2 linked regions of the Cricetulus griseus genome follow. The protein of the gene in region 1 purifies or fractionates together with the protein of each later gene. This does not show direct contact. Links are inferred from orthologs where the notes say so. Each region holds a gene or a part of one and is shown in the gene's direction. Other genes may lie near its edges.

Region 1 (4,156 bases):
CTGAGGAACAGAAATTGTTTATTAATTTGCTTTTGTTCCCAAGCTAGGGAGCAAGCCCCATAATGACACATTGCTTCAAGTTCAGAGGAAGCCTAGAGTATACCTGGGTCCCATCTGTTTCAGGGGTGTAAGGCAATGCGGGAACAGATCTAGGATAAACAGACACACTAGAGGTAGCTGCGAGAGGCACCGCAGATTGACACAGGCGGCGGGGGGGGGGCCGGGGGGGGGAGAGACAGGTACAAAGTTCTAACTTGGAGAGATTAAATGCTTCAGAGGCAAGCAACCAAAGAGAGGACCCAGGGGCTCCAGTGGGAGGGTCTGGAAGGCAGAAAGGGCCAGCCAGAGAAGACACTCTCTCATGGGGGACACACTTATGGGACAGAGAGGAAGCGTGGGTGCTGTCGGGAAAGAAATTCATTTGTCTGGCCACACTATTTTGGGTCTTTGTCCTACAAACAGTGCTCAGATTTCAGTTTTGGGTAGGGCGATTTTAAAAATTGGGCACCACACACGTGCGGTAACTAGTGAAATATACTATATATATGTACAGATCCCCTCGCAGTAATACTGCTCTCAAGAGGGTTCGCTCTACCCAACTTACTGTGCCGGGACATTTTGCCTGCGTTTTAAAAACTCAGACAGACACAGAGACACACACGCACGCACGCATGCTTGTGTAACCCCAACCAAGTCATTAAGGCTCCGGGGACCCTTCCTCCGGTCGCTTCCTGCGCTGGGGTCGCCATTCCGCGGTCGTCTTTCCATCCATCATTTTGCCCCAGGCTCCACTCATTCCGGCTTCCAGACCCCACTGGCCCCGTTGAACCCTAAGCCCTGACCCTGGGGTCCACAAAGGGCGCCTCCTCCTCTGCGGAGGCCGGGGATGCTCTACATGGACCGTTTCAGCCGCCCGCTGTCGCCTGGAGACAAGCGTCTGCCCCGCACCGGGCCGACACCCTAATGACCACTCAGGGTGGGGCAGGGTGGGTGGGTGGGGTGGGGGTGGAATCCCAACCGTCGGGGCCGCTGGTTCTGCGGGTCCCGGGGCGCGTGCCCGGCGGGCGAGCGCGCGGCCAGCGGACCCCGGGGCCTCCCGGCAGGTGCCCCGCCCGCGTCTCGCGTGCGCACGGGCACAGGGCTCGGTCGAGCTCGGACGCGACGACCGAGACCCAGCAGAGCGGCCCCCAGGGCGGCGCCAGGCAGCCGCCGGCGGGTCGGTCGGTCCGGACCACGAGTCGTCGGGCACTCGCGTGCCGGAGCGCCGCTGGGATCCGGGGCACACGCTCTCGGCTCTGCGCTGGCTGCGCGGGCTCGCTCGCGTCGGCGACGGCGCGCGAGGCGCGCGAGGCGCGGGCGCGGGCGGGACGGCGTGCGGGCGGCGCCTAGGGGAGGAGACCGGCCCATGGACCCGCGGGGCCCGGCGCCCCAGACTCGGTGCCGCCGGGACGGAGCCCAAGATGTCGGCCTAGGCCCGGCCGCGACGACGGGGACTTGGCGGCTCCTGGACGCCGGGGCGCGCGGCCGCTGGGCCGGGGGGTGCTGGCCCTGACGCCGGGGGCGCACGGGCGGCGAGAGGCCGGCGCGTGGGGAGCGGGGCCGCGCGGCACCATGTCGGCCAAGGTGCGGCTCAAGAAGCTGGAGCAGCTGCTCCTGGACGGGCCGTGGCGCAATGAGAGCGCCCTGAGCGTGGAGACGCTGCTGGACGTGCTGGTGTGCCTCTACACCGAGTGCAGCCACTCGGCGCTGCGCCGCGACAAGTACGTGGCCGAGTTCCTCGACTGGGGTGAGTACCGTCCTGCGCTCCCCCCCGCTCCCGGCCATCGCCCCGGCCGCTTCCTAGACCCACCCTCCGAGTCTGGAGATCATTTCCTGCAGCGCTCCCTGGGACATCCGCCCGGCCTCCGCCCGGGACCAGCCTTTGGGGGGTCCCGAGCCGGGCCTGCGCTTACCCCTCCAGCCCGAAGCTCTGCCGGGTGGGAGGGCAGCCCCCGCCCGCCCGCGCCCGGTGGCCTGGGAGAGCATCGCCCCACAGCCCAGCCCCGGGGGCTCCACCCAGGTGACAGCCTGTCCACATCCCCGTGATGTCCAGGGCCTGAGCATCCCCTCGCCTTTAGCACCTCCAAACGCATTTTAATGCGAAAAGCTTGATTTCCAACCCACCGTGCAAGAGCAAATAGATACTCCCTCCCTCATCCCCGAATTAAAATCGTGTCAGACTCTTGTGATATTATTGGTGGTGGTGGTGGTGGTGATGGTGGGAGGCAACTGGAACTGTCCCTTAAAAACTTTTCTTCATCTGACCTTGGTATTCGGTTCATTTAGGGGTCGGATGCAGTAATCAGGTCGATGGATAGCCTTCAGTGTTTCATTAGGGCAAATGCTTGCTTAAGTCAGTCATTTATTGATAGGAGTTCCCAAGCCAGGTTAGAGACGCTTGCTTCAAACCTCCCTTACAGTCATTTCCCCTCAAGACCCCTCAGTTCCCTCACAAGGACTCGGTAGGAGGAAGTGAGGCTTAGTTAGGTTCAGGTCAAACTCGTAAATCTTACCCTCGGGTTGCTTTCGTCATTGGGCTAGGACTGTGCGGTTTGAACCAGTCGCTTCTAATCTTTGGGGCTGATAAGCTGATATTTACACGAGGAAACAAATGTGTTCCACATGGAGGCCTCCTCCTCTCACAGTGGTGACTGGGATCTAGAATTCTGTTTAGAACGCAAATTGCCATAGTCTTTAGAGGGCTTCCCTCAGGATGCTGTCCAGCGAGGTGTTGCTGCCTGTGCGTGAGAGCAGCTGCAGGAAGGACCCTGCCTCAGGACACTCTGGGGCTTTGTTGTGAAGGGCCTCTGCTCTTGGTTACACAGAGGGTTGAGCCCTTAGTCGAGCGTACTGGCTTTCCAGGGGAACTTTTATCAGTGACATGATTTCCAGTTGGGTAATTAACTGACTTCAGAGTTGCTTTGAAAACCAGGACTCTAGTGCATGCTGCAATCTGAGACTTGTCAATATTGTACTTGCCGTTCTTTTTTGAGCACTGGTTCTTGAAACCAGGCGGTTCCAGTCAGGTTCAGCTGGGTGCATAGCATGTGAATAGGGTAACGAGAGCAGGCAGCAGCACAGGGAAGAAGGCTGATTTCACTGATGAGGTGTGTTCCAGGTGTCCTTTGGCCTGGGACTCGCACAGTACCTCATGGGGATGGGCTGGAAGGCTGGGTGCTCACCACTGGGTGCCTCGGACTTCCCGGGAGGAAGCTTTCCTTGGCATGTGAAGAGGGCAGGTTTTGTAAGATCTGACCTTTCCAAATCTAAACAGAAGGTGTGTGCTATAATGTAAGCATAGTTTTAAAATTATGTTTTGGCCTTTGGAAATTGTGATTACAAATGGATTACCCTCTTAGCTCAGTTCCTGCATTGGTGTAAGCTCTAATTAGGAGCAAGCCTTGGGTGTGATGGCACACTGGTAATCCCAGCATTTGGGAAGCAGAGACAGGAAGATGAGGGCTTGAAGGTCAGCTTCAGCTACATGGTGAGTTTGAAGCCTGCACGGGCTACCTGAGAGACTGTCCCATAAACAACAACAAAAACCAAATGATAGAACAGATTGGTGCATTAAATATGAGGTAGAATTTTAATGAAGTAGTAACATGGTTTAGAGTGCCATGCGCCTTTATGTATATTCCTGTGTGTGCTGTTGTGACTTTGAGGTGGTGTGTCACCAGTAAAAGCACATGTGCAGTCATTTGGTGTGTTGGTGACAAGGCGAAGAATGGCCTTCCCATAAGACTGTTCACAGTGGAGGGGCTTCGGTTCAGGAAGCATCCGGCTTGTTGAGATTTGGGGCTCTTTGTTCTGCCTGTTTCGAGGTCTCTGACACATTGAAAGTGCAGAGAGCCAAGCCAGTCTCTTCCCCACCACACAAGAGTATCTGCTGACAATAGATAGGATTCTTGAGACTCAGCAAACAGCTGACTCAGCCCTTAAGAAACTTAAGGGAAACCTTTGAGGAAATTTGGGAAATAGAAGTAATAAAAAGCTTTTAAAATTTAAAGATTATTCCTGGCTCTCCGTGGCCACCGTGTTTGGGTTGGATGTATCACTGCAGCTTTCACTGTGGGGGCTCAACTTTACTTTTTTCCTCTGATTGTTTTTATCATTT
Region 2 (4,047 bases), on another chromosome or scaffold:
AATGGGGTGTCTGTCATGTGGAGTATACCCGAGCCTGGTGGGATTCTGGGATGATCTCCTTTTTCCTGATGTCCTAGCCCCAGGTCTGAGGATGCCCTTTGGCTTTCTGCTTTTGCTCTGTGCTTACTGCTCCAGGAGAATCTAGGTTAGTTGAAAAGCCTTGTTGCCCAGCCTGTCAGAGGGGTCTTCCTGAGCCCAGGCTCCAGAATACCCTAGTATATCAAGAAAGACAGGAGGGCCCTTCTGCCATTCTGCCCACCCAAAAGCTGCCCCAGATTTGGCACCTGTTACAGACACCCATTCAGCACTTGCTACCAGCTCAGGATGGAGTTAGCTAAGTGGGCAGTTGAGAGTGAACCTCTCTCCTGGCACCTCCCCAGGCCTGTGTGGGTAACATTCCAGGCCAACTCCTACACCTAGTTATAGAGGAAGGAAGAAACCCTCAGGCCTCTTCAGACACCTGGGTCATTTGGTTTCCAAGGGAAGGTTTGGAAAGAGCAGAGATGATTCAGGTCACCGGAAAGGTCAAGGGCCCATGGATGACGGCTCAGTGTGGAGGTGGAACTGTGAATGTGGGCTCATCAGTATGTTCCCTCCACTTTGCAACCTTTTAAATGTAGTTTTAACTAGGCCTCTTGCATGTTAGGCCTCAGATCCCCTCAGTGACCTACACACTTAACAGAGACCTTCAGTTTGTTAATACCCTGCAGCTATCACCCTGAAATGCTTAGGAACCTTTTTCTTTTTAAAACCAAGAAGATCCCAGTGTTTGCATTTTGCACTGAGCCCAGTCTGCAGATTGTGCAAGTTCTGGCTGTACCAACATCTCAGAAGAGGATGGAGAGGCTCAACCCACAGGTCCAGAACACAGACCTGACAGCTGCCTTCCAGCTCTGAGCTGGGTAGAAAGAAACTGACTGTGTGCCCAGGTCCCAGCTGGCAGTGGCCTATAGCCAGCTCGTGGAAGCACCGCACCTTCCCCAACTCTGTGCTTCCCTGTCTCCCTGCTCTCCTGCTTGCTTCTTGGATGAGACTGAGGCTGGAGAGAGCCAGAGTGTGCCCAGTTCTTCACAGGCACCATGAAGGCAGTGAATCAAAGGTTCCCCTAGGCTGAGTCATCTCACTGAGCTCCTCTTCAGGCCTTCTCTGAGTCAGAAACAGTAATTAAAACAAAGCCACACAGTGAGACTCAAGAGGAGACCTTGCAGCGTTATCCCCCACCTCCCACTTCCCCCCGCCACCCTTCCACTCCCCCCTCCCCCCCCACCTTTGCAGCGAAGCACGTAGGAGTAGGAAGGCCTTCCCACCTGTGTTGTCCCTCCCAGGACTTGGTGAGTAGGGTGCTGCTCATCAGCCTGTCCAAACTGGACTTTCTCCAAAAAGCTCTGCTGGGTGTGGCGAGAGCTCCCTTGTCTGGGGAAGGAAGCTTTCTAGGGTTCGGATGCCCCCGGGTGTACTCAGAATGAAGGCTGGCACCTCAGCACAAAAAGCAGACAGCAGGCGCCTGGGAGGGGCTCCAGGAAGTCACTCCCAGGTTTTCATATGTGGGGAGATCTGAAGAAGTTTGATCACAAGAATCTGGAGAGGCAGAATATCAAGAGTTGCTGTGTCTTCCCAGCGTGCTAACAGTCAGAGAGCATATACGAAGAGATGCGTGGTATAGATGCATAGTATCAATCAACCCTTTTTACAGAAAGTCAGACTGAGGCTCAGCTAGCCTGACAGCCTAGAGCTAGGGTCAGCATCTCTAAAGGTTACCTAGCTATGTGCTTGGAGCTTCTGGGAAGCTGAGTGGCTGCTGAGGAAGCCCCTGGGCCCACACAGTGAGCTTAGAATACTTGGGAGGGATCAAGGACCCTCAAGGTACTGTTACTTGCCCAGAGAAGGCAAGAAATCAGACTGGGTTTCTCTGCTATCTGTGGGGTGGAATGTCCTCATTCCCTAGTGATGTCCTAGGGAGGGTAGGCTTGGAGTCTGGGGAGAGCAGCCCCTGATGCTCTGGTCAGCTCTCCCTGCAGCGTAGACTTGCAGGAGTGGTCCTGAGCAAAAAGCTGTGTTCTTACCTTCTTCATGCCTGTCAGGAGGACCATCCTCCCCCCACCTCAATGGCCAGCCTGCCAGTTTGCTCCTGCACCTCCCCCATCTTAAATCCTCATCTCTGTCCACCTGTCACTGCAATAAGGTATCACCTGAATTAATTTTTTTGAGCGGGAATATATGTATTTTTCTTTACCCCTTAAGCTGATTTTATTCATGATCCCTAAAATGCAGAAACAGCTTCATGCATTTCAACAGGTGAAGAGACAAATTGTATTCCATCCCTTTGCCAAGAAATGAAGTAGAATGAAATACTGATAAACACCTCAAGTGTGCCATGCTAACGGCAAGAGGGCTGAGCCTGTGCGGGGGAATGATGGAGCACTCTCAGGAAGAAAATGTGTGGAGATAGAAAGCAGATCACCATCAGGGATTAGGGGATGTGGGGATGCTGCCCGCACAAAAGCAGCATGACCGATTTGTGTCACCATGAAGTCAGGGGTTTTCAAAGGCACACAAAGTCAATAAACACCTCTCTCTTTCCTCCTCCTTCCACACAAGGGCAGCATGTGCTCCAAGAGGCTGAGCCTATAGCTTTTCATCAGAGCCTTATCCTGGATCCGGTCCCACCTCAGTTCGTTCATGTATAGAGCTCAGCAAAGCTATGTTTCAAACCCAAGTTCAAGTCATGTGCCTCCTACCCCGATGGGCCCTTGCCCAGATCTCCTCGGACATGAGATGCTCAGGCTGGGAGGCTCGAGTCTGTTTCTCACTCAGCAACTTCTCTATCTACACTGTTGTAGATAGGCTAAGAGTCTTGGCTTACACCCGTCCCCAGAGCCAAGGTGGTCATCTCAGAGCACAGCCAGATCCCTCGCAAGGTGGTGCTCCCCTGTGGGCTCTCCAGGTAAACGTGAGAAACATCTTTCCAAAAGAGTGAGTCATGAGTCTCCTTCAGTTTCACAGCCCAGCTCCAGCCGCCAGCTTCTTCCCTGCCCAGGCTGCCGTTTTATTTGCTTCCTCTGAAGGGGTGAGGTCAGGTGTTGTTGTTGGAGCCGGAAGCTGTGTGCCGATGGAAGGTGCGGTTGTGATGAGTGAGGGTGGTTAAGGGGCAGTAGACACCTGTCCTGGGGCTGTGCGGAGTCCCACTTGGCCAGTCAGCTGCCTCTGAGGACCGGCCCAGAGGAGACACCTATATCCTGAGATTCAGACCAGCTGATTTTGTCCCCTGTTTCTTGCTGAGGGATCTATCTTGGTGAGTCACTTGGCCTCTTGGAGACTCGGATTCTTCCTCTGTGTATTGGGTGTTAAAATCAAGCATCTAAACTTGCTGCAAGGGCTTCCCTGGGCTCAGACAGGTAGAGTGGTTTTACAAAAGGTAAAGCTCTATCTGACTCAATCAATTGCTCTGCATGAAGTCTGTGAAACTACTTCACTTCTTGCCAAGAACTGGCAAGTAGAAACCCGGTCCATGGACCTCAGTTTCCCATCTTGGGGGGTGAGACCAGGGCTGATATGATTCTTTTCCATCCTGCAGGCTTACTTCCCCCCAAAGAGGGCATTCCCATCACCTCCGACCTGCACACCTCTGGCAAGCATAGATAGATCTCGGAGGAGGCCGCCCCAAAGATTCCTGCTGACGCTTGTCTGATCCTGCCTTCTGTGAAACATGGCCCCACAGGATTACGGGACAAATCATAGACCCTGAGCCACACCTGCTCAGAGAGGCACACTTCACAGCCTTGTTTGGCTCCAGGTGCTGCCAAGCCGTGAGACTCACTCCCATCCGAACAATGCCTTCAGGAGTCATGGCCACTGCTGTATGAGGTCCTTGCTGAGCAGGACTTGACCTTGCTACCCAGCAAGCCTCCTGAGTGACCTCCTCCACCTCCCATGTGTGGCTACAAGGGCAGACTAGAGAATGTCTGTGCCCCGGATCCAAGTGGACGAAGTGGGTGAGAATGACAGGCCAGCAGGGGCAGCCGCACCTCCAGATGACCACCTCCTCAG

Evidence for each region. Proteins that work in one complex are often made in the same cells at the same time.
Region 2: the proteins of Cdc42bpb (region 1) and Fam167a purify together in Homo sapiens (co-immunoprecipitation; 3 studies listed by BioGRID and IntAct, counting the BioPlex papers as one, with this or other methods). This does not show direct contact. The link is inferred for Cricetulus griseus from reciprocal best matches to the Homo sapiens genes CDC42BPB and FAM167A.

The regions. Positions count from the first base shown.
Region 1 is NC_048598.1:182,637,190-182,641,345, forward strand, and holds the start of Cdc42bpb (serine/threonine-protein kinase MRCK beta), read left to right. Parts: upstream 1-1,353; 5' UTR 1,354-1,611; coding exon 1,612-1,786; intron 1,787-4,156. UniProt on the Homo sapiens protein: Serine/threonine-protein kinase which is an important downstream effector of CDC42 and plays a role in the regulation of cytoskeleton reorganization and cell migration. Regulates actin cytoskeletal reorganization via phosphorylation of PPP1R12C and MYL9/MLC2.
Region 2 is NW_023276807.1:218,479,218-218,483,264, forward strand, and holds the start of Fam167a (protein FAM167A), read left to right. Parts: upstream 1-1,242; 5' UTR 1,243-1,331; exon of another isoform or gene 1,332-1,507; intron 1,508-3,574; 5' UTR 3,575-3,958; coding exon 3,959-4,047.